Linked DNA regions of Arabidopsis thaliana. The protein of the gene in region 2 purifies or fractionates together with the protein of the main gene of each other region. This does not show direct contact. Each region holds a gene or a part of one and is shown on either strand. Other genes may lie near its edges.

Region 1 (6,897 bases), on a different chromosome or scaffold from region 2:
TTCTGTGTCCGACTCCAAATTGCCAACATAGCACGTGAATTCAACATTTGTGGAAGCCATTTTGAAAGAGTAAGAGAGTTCAAAAACAAGTAGTGATTTCTAAGTAGAAAACATAGCAATTTTATGAGTGACATAAAATGAGAGACACTTTAGTCAATTTATAGAAAAAGGTTAGCGGTAAATGCATGTGATGATATCGATAAATGCTATTAACTCTAATATGGTTTGAAACAAGTGTATTTTTTTCTTGGAACTAGTTTACACTAAATGATGATACTTTTATAGTGGAAGGCGAAAAGTTTATGTTTTTTGGTCATGGTCGTGTATAGTTTGTTTAGATGATAATTAGAAAAACAGTCAAAACAAAACTCAAATTTTCGATCCAAAGATTATTGAATTTTGGGTTTTAATTGGAAAAGAAAAAACACAATAAATTAAAGATCGTTAACTTTGACTTTGATGAGTCTACAACATCTTAAAGTTCAAAAAATACAATAAGGTTTAAACTAGTGATTTTTTTTGGGAACTAGTTTTCACTAAATAATGATACTACTTTATAGGTTTAAGGTTTCAGTTTTCTTTGGTCATGGTCCATGTAGATTGAGTTGTTTACATGATAATTAAAAAACAGTCAAAATAAAACTCAAAATTTCGTAATTCGAGTTTATTGAATTCAGGGATTTTTGGGTTTCAATTGGGAATGAAGACACATAATAACTTGTATATATAAGTTTCACTTTGACTTTTATGAGTTTACGACTCAAAGAATGTCATTTAGGGGTTTTATTTGACAAATTAGGCAAATTTGAGATTTTTACTTTTTCTTATTCCCATGGTTACTTCTAGAGTTCTAGTCACCATAGTGATTAAAAGAAGGAAACTAAGCATGAGAAAATACTAGAGAGCTGAAAAATAAACAAAGGGTTCTTCTTGAAGCTGATTCGATAATCCAAAAGTAAAAAAAGTATTTGAAGTTAAGGTCTCATTATTGCTTTTGAGACGTTGGCATTGCCAGAGATACTGAAGTTGGAATATCTTTCCACTGTTGTGTAACAGTTTTGATCTGAGTGAAAAAGTCCACTCCTGCTTTGCCTGCAAAAATAGTTCACTCAAAGTATATATATAAGCAAAGAGAAAGGAGAATGGATCTTCTTTTGTTTAGTTGTGACAAGAATTTTACCATAGAAGTTAAGATCTCCTGCGAATGAGGCCTTGTTCCCGGTGAAGGAAAAGAACGGTAATGGAACCGGGATTGGAACATTAATACCGATCTGGGCAAACATTAACAACAACAAAAGAAGATATCAAACATGTAATCAAATGCATACAAGTAATGTTGTATTTTATAGGGCCCAAAGTTCTTCATACCTGTCCTGCTTCTATGTCCATCTGGAACTTTCTTGCTGCTGCCCCGGACGACGTGAAAATCGCAGCACCGTTCCCATACCTGTTGACGGCGTAAGTAGCAAATTGTTGAAGATGATGAGACGATTAAATTTTAGTATTAAGATGATGATAGAACAGGGTGTTTTACTTGTTTTTATTTATTATAGATATGGCCTCATCAAAACTGTTTGCCTGTAAATGAATATGTCACAAAAGCATCAGAGGGCATTAATCTCACAATTCACGAATAAATGAATGATATAAGACTAGTTTTCCAATCTGACCTGCATGCACACAAGAACAGGGCCAAATATTTCCTCCTGCGAAGAAAAATGAATTTTTAAGATTCAAGTAGAGTACGGATCATTTGCCTTAATGTCAGAAAATACCTTGTAACACTCCATGTCTGGGGTAACACCAGATAGAATGGTAGGACCGATAAAATTCCCTTTCTCATATCCTGGAACCTGTTTGTTATAAGAGAAAACATATAAACTTCTCGGACCAGTTGATCTTTGCGTTGTTTTCAAGATTACACAAAGATTATTAAATCAAGATATTTCTGCGGTTCTTGATGATTACTATTTGATAAGAATGTGGAGGGTAGTGCTATATTTAAGGCATGAGTCTGTTGCAATAGCAGTAAATATGGAGAATGGGAAAATACCACAATATCTCTTCCGTCAAGCAGCAATTTAGCACCATCATCTACACCAGACTGAATCAACCGGCATATCCGTTCTTTCGCCTAGTCATATCAAAATTTAACAATAACGTATACATATTGAACAACAGACAGAATGCAAAACTAAACATAATTTTTACACATGTAAGTTCAGAGGTTTGTGCGCGAAAATACCTGTTTACTAATCACAGGACCCAGGTCTGCATCTGGTTCTGACCCACATGTGACTTTAAGGGCCTTAGCTCGCTCAACGAGTTTATCCTCCCTGGTTAGTATTAGACAAGTTAAAGCTAATCTTTCATGACTGTCAAATGAAAATCAACAGGCCTCATACATATTCTTCAGTTACATTTAGTATTAGGACACAACAATAGTCAATCTAAATTAAAGAAAATGGTGTTATCTTAACTATCCTATATATGGCTTAAGCACCCTAAAGGCGTGGTTCTGGAAACCGTACGAGAGAAAAAGATTACAGGAAAATGTGTTTATCACAAGAAATATAAGATATTCGAGAAACTGGAGTAATTTGAATATATAAAGTAAGCAGTACCATGATTTTGCATCGCCAACAAAAACCACTGTACTCAGTGCCATGCATCTCTGTCCAGCGGCACCAAACCCAGCAGCAAGTAGCGCATTTAAAGTTGCATCGATGTTGGCATCAGGCAAGACAAGTCCATGATTTTTCGCCCCCATATTTGACTGAGTCAATATATTATAAGCAATTTGACATAGTGTCGTTTCGAAATAGCAAGGAAGACTTTTAAATGGGAAAAGATGCAAGACTTTACCTGAATACGTTTTCCTTTTGCTGCTGCTCTTGCGTATATATGCATTCCAGCCTTTAAACAAAACAATGCATTAATACGCAAGTTTAACGAAAAGGTTGAGCTCAGAAGAAAAGCAATTCTGCCATTACCAGTCCATATTGACAGATTTTGAAGATCTAAGGTATGATTTTGTATACAATTAACGTTTTATTAGACAGCTGAAATAATTACACAGGACACTGACTAAATGAATATTTGTAAATAACTCGGTCAAATGCAAAGCCAAGTCTGCAGGCTATAAAAGAGCAACATAAAAAAAAAAGTACTTACCGTGTTGGAGCCAACAAAAGAAACAGCCCTTATATCTTCATCATCACAGATAGCATTCACAGTATCCTGTGCAACAGATGCATTTTCAGTGACAACAAAGAAAGTGAAGGTAATAGTGCGGAATCTTTACAAACTAGGTTACTCTAATTGCAAACTAGAATATTCACCATAATATCTCTCGACGGGATCCTTACTTTAACAATTCAAATGCTAACAAATAAGAAATTTAGAAAGAGCAGAAAGTTTAAACATAACCTACATTGGTTCCGTGAACGATATTGAGAACCCCATCAGGTAAACCAGCTTCCATTGCCAACTCGGCAAGTATTACAGAAGCACCTGGAGAAAGCAAGTAATATCAATAATCAACCAATCAATAGAAGGGACCTCTATAGCTATAGTGGAAAACAGTCAATCAACAATACATTTCGCTCATCACATTGGCGGTGGTAGTAAAATGCATGTTCACTACACTGGCATCAACGATATGTTACAACATGATCTGAAAGTCAAGACATCTTGAACTTCCCATACATCAATTAAACACCACAGAAGTGTCTATTAGTAACTGGAATAGTTCGAAGGAATAAGGGTATTTTACCGGGATCCTTCTCTGATGGCTTCAGAATAAAGGTATTACCACATGTCACTGCAACAGGAAACATCTGCACTAACAAACACATAATAAATACGCAGAATTCACATAAGAGAATCACAAAGAATTAACGATATACATAATGAAGCCATATAAAAAAGGGCTTAGCATGTTACCCATAAAGGAATCATGGCTGGAAAGTTAAAAGGACAAATGCCAGCACAAACACCTAATGGCTCTCTAATACTATATGTATCAACTCCGTTCGACACATTGGGGAGATATTCACCCATCTGTAAGGTTGCCATTCCACACGCATGCTCCACAACCTCTGCGTAAGAAACCATGTACCAAAAATAAGCACTAAGGTTCTCCTCTTCTTGTCAATCATATAATCAAACCTACAATACATAAATAAAATACTAACCTAACCCACGGAAGATATCACCATGTGAATCCTTTAAAGTCTTCCCTTGCTCGGTTGTGATGTTCATAGCAAGTTTATCCTACAGAAAAATCAAAACTTTCAGCCAAGCACATATCAAGATCATAGCAAACTAAACCAGGTAGCTACCATATTCTTGCGTATAAGCTCTTGAAACTTTAGCATAACACGCTGCCGGGTAGTAATCGGCGTGTTTCTCCACAACGGAAACGCTTGCTTCGCAGCGGATACCGCAGCTTTAAACTCTTCATTAGTAGTCAATGGAACTTTAGATACAACCTCTTGTGTAGCCTAATAATAGCAAATCAGAATTTACTTCAAAGTTCAAACCTTTAAGTAATCAAACAAGAGTATAGGACTCATAAGAGAGTTTGCTTACAGGGTTTATAACATCGATAAACGAAGATGATTGAGACTCAACAAAAGAACCTCCAATAAGATTTGGTACTCTCTGAAAACAGAACCCACATCGAAAAATCAAAACTTTTGAATAAAAATCACATCGAAATCGATCTAAGAACTCACCGGAGGCATTTGTGGTTGAGTAGATTGCTCCGGCGAAGTTGATAACCAAGAGCTTCGAAGAGCGAGAAATTGTGGTCTCAAAGGTCTCAGATTGTTACCTGAAAACAGTAACAAAAACTAGCTTCGATAGTATCGAAGTCTGCAGATTTTGATTCGAGTACAAGAGAATCGAGATTTTTACCAGAAATTCGAAGCAGCATCGTTGTTGTTGTTGTTGTTGTTGATGATGATGATCGGAGTTTGGTGTTGTCGTCTGCTTCTTTGTATAAGCGTCTCCTTTTGGTTTTGGATTTGAGTGATGAGTGAATGCTGACTCGATGTTGATCGGGTGCGAATGAAGTGGTTGGATTTCGCCACGTGGGTGGATATGTACCGTTAGATCTATAAGATTCAAGATTCTTTTGTTTGACTCTCACCATCACCAAGATATATGTACATGGTTGACAAAAAAAAAAAAGATATTTAGCCTTAACAATTTTAAAACTAAAAGCAAGTCCAAGAGCTTTTTATGGGGCTCTTCCAAATCTTTTAATTATAAATTTTATCAAATTCAAATTTAAGAGTTTTGGATAGATTGTTAAATTTTTTTTGTCTAATGAAAAAAGTGGGCTTTTAAAAAAAAATTATTATTAAAATAAAAATTATAAATATTTTATTTTATAAAACTGAATAGTTATTGCAAATACACCAATTTTAAAGATACATGACATAAAAGCATATATAAAATACGAAAATCGAAAATCAGAATAACGATTAATTGTTAGCTTAATTCCCGCCAAATGTTTGTTATATATGCTTAACCAAATTAGCTTTCAATTGTGGATGTATAGCCAGATCACGAACTCGGGCTCGAGCGGCCATAATATTGCCGAGATTTGAAAGCATATCTGTAAAATAGTTGAAATCCATTTGTAAAGAGCTGGTTGATTTTGGTTGTGTGAATTCAGCTGCATCAAACTGAATGTACTTATCTTGTTCATCCTCTACTATCATATTGGGAAGTATTATGCATGCTCGCATGATCATTCCTATTTTTTTCTTATCCCAAATAAGAGCTGGATTGACAATTACAAACCAAGTTTGCAAAACTCCCAAAGCACGTTAACCATTTTGACAACAAGCTTCTTAATTTGTAACAAATAAAGAATCTTTGTGACCTTGTGGAATTGAAATAGATTGGATAAATGTAGCCCATTTAGGATAAATTCTATCAGTGAGATAATAAACCAAATGATAGTAGGTCCAGTTGACGATATATTTCACTTTTGGAGCTCGACCTTGTAATTTATCATCAAAAACTGGTAAGCAATCAAGTATATATATCATTTAAGAAATCTGGAGGTCCAAAAAAAGTATGTCATATCCAAAGATCTTGGAAAGCAATAGCCTTTAACACTATTGCCGGTTTGCCAGATACACGTGTATATTATCCTTTCCAAAAGGTGGGGCAATTCTTCCACTTCCAGTGCATACAATCGATGCTTCCTATCATCCCAAAAAATTCATGTACCTCTCCAATACGGAGTAGTCGTTTAAGATCTTGTCGTGTAGGTCTACTTAGATACTCTTTCCCAAACAAATATATAATTCATTCAACAAAATGTATCATACATGATATCGAAGTGCTTTCACAATCTGTAGGTATTCGTCAACCGCATCCACTGAACAACCATATGCAATCATATGAATTGTTGTTGTACACTTCGTAGTGCCGATAAACCTAACCTGCCGATAACATCTCTTCTTTGTTCAAAGCATGAAATTTCATTGGAGAGTCCGTCAACAATACGTATAAACAATGGCTTGTTCATTCTAAATCGGTGTCACAATATATGAGGAGGGAATGTCGCATCTTCTTTGAAATAATCGTTCTACAACTGGATGTGTCCTAGTTCACGATCTCTTGCAATATATGCTCATTTTTGTTGACTTGGTTGGTTGACGATCAACATATCTCTATAATGTTTCATTGAAAAATTGATCAAACTTATCGTCAAGATTATAAGATGAAGAAGATCTCATGTTTGATGAACTATGAAGATAAATGTTTGGAGAAAAAGAAGATTGTTTGGTGAAAAGGAAGATTGTTTTGGAGAAAAGAAATATTTTTTTGGAGAAAAGGAAGATTGTTTTAGAGAATAATAGAGAGAATTGTATT
Region 2 (4,887 bases):
CCTTTTCAGTTCGTACCGTTCTTCGCTACTTTACTCATTCTTTAGGGTTTCAAGGTTTTCTATTGGTCTTGTTGTAGACTCGAGTAGCTTCTGGGTTCAACCCACAAAGTTTGAGCCTTTTTTGATTTGCAGAGTCCTCTGTGTTTCTTGGTTTGTCTCTTGATCAAGGTCTGCTTGCGATTTTTGTTTCTTTCTCTACCTTACTCGCTAGATAGATGTTTCTGTAGATTGGCAGCATTTGGTCTCTCTGTGTGGTTTTATTATTTACTGATATAAGTGTGAATCTTTCCCAGAATTTCGTTTTCTATATCAAGAAGCTCTCAGAAAATTTTGGGCTTGGCGTAGTTGTTTAGATATATCCTAGCTTCCTAGAGATTGAATGTTGAATGTTGAATGACTAGTACTTCCTTCTCTTTCTCTGTGTCTTGGTTGTCATATTCAACTGATTGTCTAATAAAGACAGTTGCTTTAGCTCTGTTATTCACGAGGATTGTCTCAAGAAGTTTCTAAAGTTGGTAGCATGTGTTTGTAGAATCTGAGATGGGCGAGCCACTAGGACTGCTCCAGGTGACTGTTATTCAAGGAAAGAAACTGGTGATCCGAGATTTCAAGTCAAGTGATCCTTATGTGATTGTCAAATTAGGAAATGAGGTATGTTTGGTCAGTGTTTTTCATTGTTCTTGGCAACTAGAACCAGTGTTTGTGTTTCTACCAAGGAAACAAGTATCTCGTTGTGTTTATTTGTCTGTTGATGTGATGTTTTACTGTTTTGAAAACCAGTCAGCGAAGACCAAAGTGATCAACAATTGCCTGAATCCAGTGTGGAATGAGGAACTGAACTTTACTCTGAAAGATCCTGCAGCAGTTCTCGCATTGGTATGTCTACATCTTCATGAATCTTTCCTTTTGTGACCATCATGATCATGATGCTGAGATTGTTAATGGGGTGGTGCAGGAAGTGTTTGATAAAGATAGGTTCAAGGCAGATGACAAGATGGGCCATGCCTCTCTCAGCCTTCAACCGCTTATCTCAGTTGCCAGACTAAGACACGTAGTCCGCGTGTCCTCTGGTGAGACAACGCTTAGGAAAGTATTACCGGATCCAGAGAACTGCGTATCTCGAGAGAGCACAATCAGTTGCATAGACGGAGAGGTGGTGCAGAGTGTGTGGCTGAGGCTGTGTGCTGTTGAATCGGGTGAGATTGAGTTGAAGATAAAGTTGATTGATCCTCCTGGAACAAACAAGTAGCAATAGGGTATTTTATGTTAGTTTGTAACACGAGACCCGTTTGTGACTAGTATAATTGCAACATCAGTATGGTCTTGTCTTGTTTCCAAGTGTGCCTTTGTGACTACTCACCAATTTATTAGGAATCTTTGAGATACATTGTTCTGCTCTCATCACTTAGCTCTTCCTTATTTTTCTTCTTGTGTGTACATTTTGATGGAAACTCCAGGTAAACTACCATCAATGGCAGATTCTCATAACTCTCTACCTTCTTAATAATAAAACACCTGGAAGAAATTATCTGGCAACAAAGCTATCACGCATACCAAGGTGGTGGTGGAACCGACACTGATATTGGTATCTTACGTCACACACACACTTTGTTGTTATCTCTATATCCACCTTTTTCTTTTTGGCTCAATTATGATCTCTCTCTTTCTCGTTTCCTCGTAATCTTAACACAAGCTTGATCGTCCTCATCTGCCACCAAACCAAAGGTGATGCGTTTTCTTAGCCAAGAACTCAAACTTGTGATATTTCTTTTGATTCTCATCATCTCTGCATTTTCTGAATTGGCTCAGACATAATTTCTTCGGTGACTTCCATGGCTCCGCCTGTCTCTGATGATTCCCTACAGCCTCGAGGTTCTTTCTGTTTCTCCTTCTTCTTTTTGTTCTGTTTCAGTTTCTACTGTTTTCTGGTTGGATCATGTATTTATCCTTTGATCCAGCAGTAATGGCTACTTACAGTTCAGTTCCGGTGTGTGCAGATGTTTGTGTTGTGGGAGTGGCGCGAACGCCTATAGGGGACTTCCTTGGCTCCCTCTCGTCTTTGACTGCTACAAGACTTGGGTCCATAGCCATCCAAGGTAGTTTAGTTATACGACTACTCTCTGTCTCTCTCTCTGCTTCGGCCAAGTTTTCATTCTCTTACTGTTTCTTCTCATAGCCGCACTTAAGAGAGCACATGTTGATCCGGCCCTTGTGGAAGAGGTCTTCTTTGGCAATGTCTTAACTGCCAATCTTGGGCAAGCACCAGCAAGACAGGCTGCACTTGGTGCTGGGATTCCCTATTCTGTGATCTGCACCACTATCAACAAAGTTTGTGCTGCAGGAATGAAATGTAATAACCTTTTATTACTCTTCTTCTACTCCAGATGATCATTCGAACGGTGTATATATCACTGCTTTTACTTCACTTGTAACCTCAGCTGTAATGCTAGCGTCTCAAAGTATCCAGCTCGGCTTGAATGATATTGTTGTTGCTGGTGGGATGGAGAGCATGTCAAACGTACCTAAGTACCTCCCGGACGCAAGGTGCTTTTTGAGTTTCCTAACTCAAACTTGTAGAAACAAACCCAAGAGAGGCATATTCCATCTGTTTTTATCATCTCGTTTATTCTTTACTCTGATTTCTGTTAGCAGAAGGGGTTCTCGATTAGGTCATGATACTGTTGTTGATGGTATGATGAAAGATGGACTTTGGGATGTCTATAATGACTTTGGAATGGGAGTTTGTGGAGAAATATGCGCTGACCAGTACCGTATTACAAGAGAAGAACAGGTCACTCATGTTCAAACTTGATCTGTCTTTCCAGTTTGTTCCCATGGACTCATGACTGATGTGATGATGAGACTGTCTCGCTGATTCTCTATTCCTTGACGTACAAAATTTTTCTCTTTGTAGGATGCTTATGCTATCCAGAGCTTTGAGCGTGGTATTGCTGCGCAAAACACTCAGTTGTTCGCTTGGGAAATTGTTCCGGTACACCTCTCCTTTCCTTGCATTCCAGGAATTCACTTTATGGCATTGTAATGGAATATTGTTCATAAACTCATATTGATAGGTCGAAGTTTCCACTGGAAGAGGGAGGCCTTCAGTTGTTATTGACAAGGATGAAGGATTGGGGAAGGTAAATAGTTTAGGAACCACTGCTTCTCTTGGGATAGCCTTGATTGATCTTAACTTTGTTTGGCATGAACCAGTTTGATGCAGCCAAGTTAAAAAAGCTTAGACCAAGTTTCAAGGAGGATGGGGGATCAGTCACTGCTGGAAATGCATCAAGCATAAGGTCATCTTTTATCTCTCAATTTTGTTTCTTCATTTGTAACTCTGCATGCATTTTGTCTTGTTTACTTCCAACAGCCACTTATTGGCTCTGGTTTACGTTGGTGGACAGTGATGGTGCGGCAGCGTTAGTGCTAGTGAGTGGAGAGAAGGCTCTTGAGCTTGGACTGCATGTTATCGCTAAGATTAGAGGATACGCTGATGCTGCTCAGGCACCAGAGTTATTCACAACCACGCCAGCTCTTGCTATTCCTAAAGCTATAAAGCGGGCTGGTTTGGATGCATCTCAAGTGGATTATTATGAAATAAACGAAGCATTTTCTGTAATCGCACATGCTGAGCTCTCAGTGTTCTATAGTTGTTCGGTATGTATAAAGAGGTCTTGACTGTTCTGGCTTGTTTCCCTACAGGTGGTAGCTCTAGCCAATCAGAAACTACTGGGATTAGATCCTGTAAGTCATGAAACAAGTACAGTTGTGGATGTAGCAGATCTTAATTTTCAGTCTCTGATTATGTATGTATACATAAACAGGAACGGCTCAATGCGCATGGAGGGGCTGTTTCACTGGGACATCCATTGGGCTGTAGCGGTGCTCGTATCTTGGTCACATTATTGGGGGTAAGTCGTAAGATCAAGCGACAATAGTGTTGAAATTAATCCACACTGAAAATGTGGTTGAATACTTCTGATTCAGGTGTTGAGAGCAAAGAAGGGAAAGTATGGAGTGGCATCAATATGCAACGGAGGAGGAGGAGCATCAGCACTTGTCCTTGAGTTCATGTAAGCCCCCTCTTTAACTCTGGTAAGCGTAGCCTTAGCACAAGCAAGAGATTACATGTCAATTAATGCTTCCAACACAATACTTTTAACTTCAACTTGTTGACAGGTCGGAGAAGACAATCGGATATTCGGCACTCTGAAGCTAAGAGCTGTTGTTTTATAACGCAAAGCTTATGTATATGGTTCATGTGTGTGTCACAAGACTGTAACTTTGTACTTGAGAGAGATGCAATAAAAGTGTGTTAGAAAATGAGCGGTAGATTTCCCAAGACAAGTGTGCAATAGCTGTTTCCTAAACTGTTGTTGTTCAGCCAAAGAGCAGATCAAACACCAAAAACACAGATGCTTAGGGAAATGAGAGGTAGATTTCCCACAAATAAATTTGCTACATTAGAGGATCAAATAATACTATACATAAAACCAGAAGTGCATTCAGTTCAAGATTTATTCTCTTCTTTTCGCTTTACATTTGCATGGCTAGGGAGCGGACACAGCTCAGTACTCCCTTACTCATTTGAATTGCTAGCTCACCTGTAAAATATATATCTCAGTTGTGGAGGCACTGAAGGAATTCCCTCAGAAGCATTCAGAGGTCACCATTTGCCAGTGTTTCATGACTGGATTTTCTGTCATCAATGGACACGGCCAGACCGTTGCGGTTCTCAAACTTGTGCAGCTCCGATTCTATGGTTTTGGCTATCACACAACGTTCAGCTTCAGGCTCAGGAAAACCCACGTGGAATGATCCTTGCTTTGCAGGTTCTGCTTGTCCTTGGGTTTCATAATGGTGCTTCACATAGTTGTATAGCTG

Evidence for each region. The genes of interacting proteins can lie anywhere in the genome.
Region 1: the proteins of AACT1 (region 2) and ALDH6B2 fractionate together in Arabidopsis thaliana (co-fractionation; one large-scale study listed by BioGRID). This does not show direct contact.

What each region holds. Positions count from the first base shown.
Region 1 is NC_003071.7:5,976,742-5,983,638, forward strand, and holds ALDH6B2 (aldehyde dehydrogenase 6B2), read right to left. Parts: upstream 5,159-6,897; coding exon 4,921-5,158; intron 4,876-4,920; exon of another isoform or gene 4,838-4,875; coding exon 4,740-4,837; intron 4,666-4,739; coding exon 4,594-4,665; intron 4,506-4,593; coding exon 4,344-4,505; intron 4,276-4,343; coding exon 4,197-4,275; intron 4,101-4,196; coding exon 3,946-4,100; intron 3,840-3,945; coding exon 3,776-3,839; intron 3,514-3,775; coding exon 3,434-3,513; intron 3,241-3,433; coding exon 3,175-3,240; intron 2,917-3,174; coding exon 2,866-2,916; intron 2,777-2,865; coding exon 2,625-2,776; intron 2,337-2,624; coding exon 2,246-2,336; intron 2,135-2,245; coding exon 2,054-2,134; intron 1,854-2,053; coding exon 1,776-1,853; intron 1,707-1,775; coding exon 1,671-1,706; intron 1,579-1,670; coding exon 1,535-1,578; intron 1,448-1,534; coding exon 1,369-1,447; intron 1,272-1,368; coding exon 1,181-1,271; coding exon of another isoform or gene 1,110-1,180; exon of another isoform or gene 1,093-1,109; coding exon 986-1,092; and 2 more. Other genes in the region: AT2G14160 (RNA-binding (RRM/RBD/RNP motifs) family protein), read right to left, coding at 1-60.
Region 2 is NC_003076.8:19,329,930-19,334,816, forward strand, and holds AACT1 (Thiolase family protein), read left to right. Parts: upstream 1-1,617; 5' UTR 1,618-1,725; exon of another isoform or gene 1,726-1,809; 5' UTR 1,810-1,832; coding exon 1,833-1,872; exon of another isoform or gene 1,873-1,936; coding exon of another isoform or gene 1,937-1,997; coding exon 1,998-2,096; intron 2,097-2,176; coding exon 2,177-2,350; intron 2,351-2,438; coding exon 2,439-2,544; intron 2,545-2,652; coding exon 2,653-2,791; intron 2,792-2,914; coding exon 2,915-2,992; intron 2,993-3,074; coding exon 3,075-3,140; intron 3,141-3,213; coding exon 3,214-3,299; intron 3,300-3,407; coding exon 3,408-3,618; intron 3,619-3,705; coding exon 3,706-3,747; intron 3,748-3,827; coding exon 3,828-3,914; intron 3,915-3,990; coding exon 3,991-4,076; coding exon of another isoform or gene 4,077-4,080; exon of another isoform or gene 4,081-4,098; intron 4,099-4,182; coding exon 4,183-4,216; 3' UTR 4,217-4,348; downstream 4,349-4,887. Other genes in the region: AT5G47710 (Calcium-dependent lipid-binding (CaLB domain) family protein), read left to right, coding at 541-651, 781-876, 956-1,249; AT5G47730 (Sec14p-like phosphatidylinositol transfer family protein), read right to left, coding at 4,663-4,887. UniProt on the Arabidopsis thaliana protein: Catalyzes the condensation of two molecules of acetyl-CoA to produce acetoacetyl-CoA.